Linked DNA regions of Bombyx mori. The protein of the gene in region 1 interacts with the protein of each later gene in a pairwise test. Links are inferred from orthologs where the notes say so. Each region holds a gene or a part of one and is shown on either strand. Other genes may lie near its edges.

Region 1 (4,413 bases):
ACTTCAGCTCTTTCAAAGGCTTACAAAATAAATTATAAGGTTAATTTATTTCCATTTGAATTTGTATGTACCTTGTACCTTTAAGAGAGCAATAAATAAATTATTATTATTATTATTATATATTAATATTAAGTATTAGATTACACAAAATGTTAAAATAATAATTGTTTTAACAAATCATATTTGTTTTTACAGACTGAATGATCAAACTATGGTAGTCTAATTTTGATCCCTTTTTGTTTTTATCAGCTAAATATATACCTTAAAATATAATAAAAAATTAAGCCTTCTATTTTTACCTCCGGTTATGTTCTGTATCCCTTTTCATGCTGAGTTGGAAAGCTATTGGTTCTCCTTCTTCCACTTCCACTTCCTGTGGTAATACTATTGCTGTTTGTTTCCAGTGTGTTGCCAAACTATTTGGACTGGTGTCCAAAATTATACGATTCTCGTCTTTCGTTTCAGACATACTGGGAAAATTGCATTCGAACCATAGACACAAGCCTTCATAAGAACCAGATTTTTTAGCTCCTGAAATAGGGACTTTGACTCAATTACTGAATAACAAAATATAAAAAAATTGAAACTTTTACATTTAACTTAGATGTGTTTTAATGGAAATACATAAGCATTATAAAAAGATTAAATACCAACAACATGCTGGATGCTGAATTCATTCAAATCAGATGCACTGTCTTCCCTCAAATTAATCCAGCAAAGTGCTACTTCATCACCAAGCAAATCCTTTTGCTCTATATTCAAAATTTCTGGTTTAGTGGATTTGTTTTTGCGAAGATGTTTAGCAAAAGCAGACATTGATACTCCATGCACATTGTTCCATTTGTTGTATAGTGAAGGTATGCTGCAAGTAGAAACAGAAGGTATAGAGATACTAACAAATTGTTAATGTTATTTCAACAAGTGTTTCATCTTGACTTCTATGACAAAAGAATAACACTGTGGAAATAGTTGAACCCACAAAATTTATAAACTTGAAAATTACTGGTGGAGGAAAATTTTTTTTTAACCCTTACATATTGGTGTCATTGTGTTGACTCCTGTTGTAAAGCAGTTGTACATTCCAGTGTGAAAGGTAAGATAACCATTGTATATTATTATTGAAAGTTTAATGTCATGTCTCAAGGGGGTAAAGTCTATGGGCCCAGGTGGGCCTTAACTCATTAACCTGTTTATTTTATAAAAATTATAATGAAAAGAAAGTCATATTAGGATTTATACAATTTGCCTTACCTACATGGTGCAACATAAATAACAGCCGTTTCAGGAAACATTTCTCCCCCTTCCTTAAGAAACTTATCTCGAGCAATTAGCACAGAATCTAACATACCTTCATGCAATAGATAAAAACCCATCCATTCAGATACTATCACATCTACTTTTATGTTATTTGGTAATATTACATCTTCAACTTTACTGTGAATTATCTAGAAAAAAAAAAGTTTTTAATTATTTATATCAGTCTGTAGTAAGTGGTTCTTGTACAATTGAAACTTCTAAAAATTGCCAGAACAAAGACATATGAAGTAAAAGAAGAAACCAACCAACTGATGATACCAAAAGAAGAAACCGAAAGTCCTATGTAATATTGAAACGCTAATGGAGATTTAACCCAAGATTTGGTATTCAACTATTTTTTTATTTCTTTTTTTATGGAGTTTTAACAAATAAATGGTTACATAGATGTCTACAATACACAAGAAGACATTACAATTGGAAATTTTGGGTTTCATAATTTGTGCTTCAATTATGAATTGAATTGAATATGAATTTTTGGTAATTTTTTAGACATCTTTGTTACTTTTTTGTTGTACACACAGGTGAATGAGACTGCAGGCTCCAAAGACCCTTTTCCTTGAGTGATTTTAAAAATTTATTCCATCAGATTAAAAATTATGAGCTTGTGTTAAATTTATATTTCTTTGGTAAGACTGTATCTGTCTGCGGCATTTGAACACTGATATATTATTAAAGTTGTATACAAGTAAACCTGGGTTCTTTTTTAAGCTACAACATTATATCTCATTAATGATTTCTATTGACTCGATTCAGTAGTTATGCATACACATAATACAGTATTTTAATGGTCATTGTTCGCAATCTTGCCATTGAGATCCTTAAAGACTGACCTTTATGCCCCCACAACAAAGTCTGTACAGTGTATTCAAACAAAATTAATTCTGTTACTGTATGTCATTTCCACAGGACGATCAAAATGTTAAAAAATTGCTTCAAATAAAATGTGTACTACTGTTTGGTCTACAATAATAAAAATTTAATTTGGACAATACTAACTTCAATAACATTTTCGAAACCATTCTCTTTCACAATTTCTCTAGCTAAATTCGCTAAATTACTTGCTTCCACGGCATATACTTTTTTAGCATCTGCTTGGGCGCAGAAAACAGATAAAATTCCTGTGCCACATCCAACATCCATTACTATTTTATCCTTGAAATAACATTTATTCCCTAATATCGCTTTCTTATAAGCTAGGTTTCTTGGTTCGTCTTCTAACATCAATGTATGCACCTGTTGAATTAGATAATATAAAAAAATATTCAGTAAAGTTAGTCTTTTTAGTTTTTTTTTTATAGATTAACCTCTAAATCTTCATAGCTGTTAAAGTAATTGTTCTGCACTTCTTCAGTTTCCATTTTACTTCTTCGCTTAACTTACGAACTAGTCAAAATATTTCGTTTTTTATCAATGAAAAATAGATAGGTAATCGAAAAACAAATAAAACAAAAATATTGATGTACGGAAATCAATCCACAAACTAGTTAGACGTAGTGTTAAATACTCTTTGAAACTAGTCTTTGCCATAGATTTTTTTGGTACAATTTTTCCTTATTAGAAAAGGCAAGAGGATCTAAGCCCATACAGCCTTTTACCATAAATAAGACAATAAGACGTGTCATTAAGTGTACTATGATTCAAAGCTTTGCTAGCTTTGCTTTGTTAAGCAGCTAACTTCAATTTTCAAAAAACCTATCAAAAAAGGTCTAGGTTTAGCAGTGGTTTTATTTTTTATTCAAGTTTCATAACGGCTTATTGACGGTTTAAAATCTGTAAAAATGAAGCAAATTTACTGAATGAAGACTAGAGTTTTTCTAAAAAATCTAACAACTCTCCATGAATTTCCACTACTTAGAAGCTCCTAAATTTCATCTCGTTCAAAATCTATGGCACTATCTTATTTCACCACATTCACTTTAATTTAATTTATTCCGTTATAAATTTTATTTTATTCAGTTCCATTACACTTTTAATACAACAAACATTTAGGTTTTGTTTCAACATTTTATAGGGTTCCATTTGCTCGTTAAATAGATGAAACGAATAAAAGTGATCTCTACAAATAAAGTGAGTCTATGAGTAGGCTGTATGAGCTTAGATCCCCTTACCTTTCTTATAGAGGAAAAATTGTACAAAAAAAAATGTCTATGAGTTGGTCATAGACAGATTTAAACGCTAATATTGCTACTTTTTAGCAAAATGACAAATAAAATTTAATATTAAGATAGGTTATGATAAATCGAGAATATAAATTAAATGTTTCTCAATATAAGAAGATGGCTAAAGAAAGTGATATGTCATTATACAGCGATGTGCTTGAACCATTTCGTAGGGTCATAAACACTGAACCACCAAAAGACAAGTTATCGGCGTCTACAAATCTAAACTTTTCTGATAGTACTCAATCTATAAAAGAAGGTATAGTGAGAAATAATTTACTAACTATAAATGTTAGCACATTTGAGAGACATCTGGTACAATGTAAATTTAAGTTCAAGAAATACATTTAACCTAAAATTGAAAACAAGACGAGTGATCGTTGTTTTCATGTCTATTGTTCGCTGTTTTTCAATTTGTTGATTTTTTTAAATTTCTGTTTTCCAAGCGTAATCATTCGCGTTAGTTTGAAAAGATTGATTGAAAGGGATAGTTGAAAGGCAATGTATGTCCATCAGTCAGTCAGTCATTCAGTCTTAATAAAAATAATATCTCATAAATATTTCTGCCTCTGTTATTAACAACAGAATCACCATTAGTTAAGTTTGTCACCTTTTCAATAAACTGCAGACGTTCAGAAGTAAAATGTCAAAACTTAATAAGTTTATAAACATTAAATAGGCCTCTCCAATCTACTGACATTTGGTAAAAGAAAGTCGAGTATCGGTAGCGTAGATGATGTGACACCAGATAAGAGGCTTAGAAGAGACTCAAGTGGTAATGGAACCACAGCACCACCATCACCATGGGAAACAAAACGTTTGAAGATTGATCTGATTGCTGCAAAAGCACAGGTACAGTGTTTCATAAACTTATATTTTTTTAAAAGTTAGAACATACTTTCAATGTAACATAAAAACAAAATCAAGAACGAAACGA
Region 2 (4,343 bases), on another chromosome or scaffold:
ACAGCAACCTTTAAAAAACATATATTTAACGTCTCTTTTGCTATATTCAAAATTTACCATGTAAACAGTCTATTTAGTACTCAAACAGTTATCCGCTTAGAAGTTTCCAAAACAAAAAACGGCCTAAGGGTCCGTTCACACAGACCGGCTCGGAGAGGAGAGCACCTTCATTCCGACTATTCCTCCTAAATAATTTGTAGCGACTCGAAGACGTGAATAATCACTGTCATACTAAAATTGAGATATCTATTATCCTAAAAGGGTGAAAAATTGGAGCACGGAAAGCAAAATGATGACTTTTTTCATGCGTAATTACGTTGTAAACACGGCTATTGTATTCTTACGATATTTAGTATGATTTCGCGATACTTCGGCACTGTTCCAAGCGCCATCGGCTACTCGTGGTGACTCGTGTCTTTTAATTTACCGTGAGAGTCAGAATTTTTTAAATACTCTTTATTACACTAGTAAAGTATTAAAACATTTAACGAAAACCAGAAAAAAAAGCATTACCCAAAGATCGAAGAATTGTTCCTATTTCCCTTACATCTACGACTTGCTTCCCAGAATGGTCAAATACTTCGAAAGCTTCAATTATTTTTTTCTCCAAATCATTGTTTGGTTGAACTAGAAAGATACATTTAAGGTATATGAGATATACCAATATATGACATATATCAGATATTATACCAGACGTAATATCTATTTACCAATAAAAATGTTTGGTTTTGTTTAAATTTCAACTAATAAATGTATTTATGTATGTATTCATTTATAATAAAATTTAATGAGTGATACTAAATTACACAGTATTTACATCGCTCGTTTATAAATTATTAAATGTATATAAAGTAAATCTTTCAAATAATAACTAACTTTTAGGTTCCTCTTTTCTTGCCATAATGAACTAATAGTTTAATTATAAGATTTGTAACACTAATAAGTACACGTATTAAATTGAAAAAAATATTCCGTAACCAGGCAACACAACCTATCAGTTATCACTAGTGTCATCGACGAAGCTTTAGTTCTATTTTGCACCAGAGCTGCTGTAAGTTAGTATGTATATATGTGACGGATGCTTTGAACATGATTTTGACCCCCTTCAAAACGTAGACTGAAATCAAAATTTGACATAGGTACTTATCAAGGACCGTTGACAATGCAATATTTTAAACAGTTAGACCTATTATCCATAAATTAGTTTTTTTTAGGATTAGCTCCCAGTTTTAACAGCTCCTCCACAATATTGACAAAGCTTAATTCAACCAATGTACAAATTAATAGCTTATTGTTGACATGTTGATGTTTAATTGTCGTACCACATTCAAAAAATATTAGTTAAAAAAAAATATATACTTTAAAAAACACAAAAATATGCTTTTATAGAAAATCAAATAGAAAATAAATTCATTGTAAAAACAATCCAATCTATACTGATTAAACAGCAGGCTTCCAGACTTTTGAGTAGTATGGATAAGAAACCCTTGGCCTTTTGAATTTTACAACAAATAGCTTATTCCAAAAAATTCTGGAATCGCCAATCCCCACCATAGATAATATACCGCCATTTCCTTCCGTTATGCTGATGCGCCGCTAAATCGCCATTTTGGATTTAGTTGGCGCTTTTTCTGTCGTGAATTTTCGTTCAGATAGTAATAGAATTAATATTATTTAAGCACATGTGTTTTAAAAACTTTAAAGTGTTGTGAAGTGGATACTATCAGACGATTAATACAATGGATCCTGCTAAAATGAAGGTGGTGGACTTGAGGTCCGAGTTGGGTGCTCTCGGGTTAGATACGAAGGGAAACAAGCCGGCTTTGGTAGAAAGATTGAAAAAAGCACTCGAAGCGAAAACTGGAACAGGTTAGGATTTCAGATGTAATTATTTAATGCGTAATGTACAGTTTTTTAGTAATGTTGCTGAAATTGTTGTTAGGGACTTTTTTAATTACTGCACGTGTACATTTGTCGATCAATCATGGATCATTGTTGCACTGTTGTTTCCACTTTAAGAGATTTAGTGTGATTCTTAGTAACTTTAACTTCCGTAGTAACCATACATCAGTTTGCTGTCCCATTTAGAGATTTGCAAACACACCTATTTTAATATCTGACGCCAAAATCAAGGTTACGACTTTATTCACACTCAAGCATGAGATAAAATCGCATAAAAATCTAATAATTTATTAAATATTAATGTACAGCATCATTAAGTTTTCGAAGTATTTTATATGTTTTTACTGATACAACGACGCATATCAGTTATTGCAGTTATTCCAACTGAACAGTTCAAATCGTAATCGGTTTGAAAACTTCGACATCGATATCAATTTATGTATACACTGTTTTATGGGAAATTCATTCATATGATTATTCTTAGGCTTAATAATAGGTAAGAAGAGCTCGATTCTGCAAAGTAAAATAAAACGAAATTCAATCAAATCAGTTAAAAGCTTTTTTTGCACAAAATGTATACGTCTTTTTGCTTCTAATGTCCAGATATAGTATTTTTAGGTATAGAAGTAACTTTAAGGATACAACCTTGATTAATTAATGTTTTCCTCTAAGGTCTTCAACGAAATTATTAACTACTGTTATTTTATTTAAATTTGCTATCAGATAATATGTTGATTAGTATGAAATATTAAGACTAATATTTTCCAGAATTGTTGAAAAAAGCATGGGTAGCAAATTAATTTATTCATCACAGTCTTATAGATAACAAAGATAATATACAGAGATGGTTTTTAAAATAATAATTAAGTACCTAATCTACTAAATAAAAATAAATACCATACTTTGTTTATGATCTGTGTTTTAAAAGCAATGTTTATCATTAAATTGATGAAGATTACAATGGTCATATTACTGTCAACCTTATCTAAAATAGGTTGCATGCAATATGTTACAAACACAGAAAACTTATTATTAAATAATAAAATTAAGTAAGTTTGTTTCAACTTTATTTTGTCTGTGGTGGATGCTTAGTATTGCAACAGATATTATAGAGTTCAATAAAAAATTATGGAGAGAAAAAAACAAAAAAGTCTGAAATCACACTGTGGATGCAGAGAGAATTGAATGCATAAGTGGTATATGATATTTCAGGGAAATGAGCAGGACCCTAGTGCGACTTGTACCGGTGCTTTGCAAAACAAGTCTTTGTTCAGGTGCGAAATAATGCTTCATTCTGTTGAGGATTCCCAAATTTTACAAAGCAAAAAATGTCATGTAGTATTTCAATTACAATTAATATTTATTATCAGACTATAATAGAGTAGGTAATACCTAGAACATTGTTAATGAATGCAATGTTCGATTATTGTGAACATTTTAAAATTGTTAGTTAATATATAAAACATTTTCAACAACAACATAAAAACATTATTGAAGAAGTAATTTTTTATTTTAATTCCTTTAAAACACTAACAGAGTTAATATAAGAAAATCAACCATTAGAACTGGCCAGAGTGCTTAGTGTAAGTTTTTGAACTTCTCAATCATGTAAAAGTCAACTCAATTTTGTATGGGGTTGAAACAGCGCCCCTTTGTTTCTCGCTAAACGCATCAATTATGCGACTGAACAATTACAGCCCTTATGGAAAGTAGTTTTGTAGAACATACAATACTGTATTTAGGATAGTATATAGTATATATAGGGTTAAAATAATTTATTAAACTATTAATTTAATATCATAAAAAGAATGTATGTACTAAAAAAATTCATCTAAATTATGAAATTAGAGATTAAGAGAAAACAAGCAATGTAGTGATTAATTCACATGCAAAACTACTTCAAATGAAAACAACAGTGTTTTAAATCATTTTGTTCAAAGTAATCACTATGGTTGTCTTTACCATTTTTGTAAATAGTAATGAATGCATAAATAAATAAAATAAAAGGTTGAGTGCTGTTTGTGTAAACAGTAAAAAAATGTTATTTATTAAATTTCAACAAGCATATAATAATTTATGTACATCCATAATAAATAATTATACAGAATAAATTTCTTGTACATTTAGATTACATCATGCTTTATAGCTTGTTACCATCTGTACTACAAAAAATATTGTCACTGTATTTAAAAAGATAGTTAAAAAAAATTTGAGTTTTGAATAATTATTTTCCTTATGATTAATGCCAGAATGCTCTATATGCTTAAACTATTTGAAGACTAAATTAAGAATATTGATAAGGGATACACCTTAATCAATTTTTATTAATTTGGCTTAACACCCTAAATACACTTCGATAAAGCGGCACGACACGAGAACCCTCTCATCGTGGCCGCCGGTAACTACATTCCCGATCCTGCGGACAGAATCGAAAGCAGTCG

The links.
Region 2: the proteins of uncharacterized protein LOC101745013 (region 1) and heterogeneous nuclear ribonucleoprotein U-like protein 1 interact in a two-hybrid assay, tested with the Homo sapiens proteins (2 studies listed by BioGRID and IntAct). The link is inferred for Bombyx mori from reciprocal best matches to the Homo sapiens genes PRMT2 and HNRNPUL1.

The regions. Positions count from the first base shown.
Region 1 is NC_085125.1:5,641,224-5,645,636, forward strand, and holds the start of uncharacterized protein LOC101745013, read right to left. Parts: upstream 2,845-4,413; 5' UTR 2,676-2,844; coding exon 2,622-2,675; intron 2,551-2,621; coding exon 2,314-2,550; intron 1,446-2,313; coding exon 1,252-1,445; intron 863-1,251; coding exon 651-862; intron 532-650; coding exon 300-531; intron 1-299. Other genes in the region: mitotic spindle assembly checkpoint protein MAD1, read left to right, coding at 3,549-3,735, 4,156-4,328. UniProt on the Homo sapiens protein: Arginine methyltransferase that methylates the guanidino nitrogens of arginyl residues in proteins such as STAT3, FBL, histone H4. Acts as a coactivator (with NCOA2) of the androgen receptor (AR)-mediated transactivation.
Region 2 is NC_085130.1:5,992,978-5,997,320, reverse strand, and holds the start of heterogeneous nuclear ribonucleoprotein U-like protein 1, read left to right. Parts: upstream 1-1,515; 5' UTR 1,516-1,739; coding exon 1,740-1,869; intron 1,870-4,343. Other genes in the region: dynein regulatory complex protein 8, read right to left, coding at 1-8, 514-627, 877-901.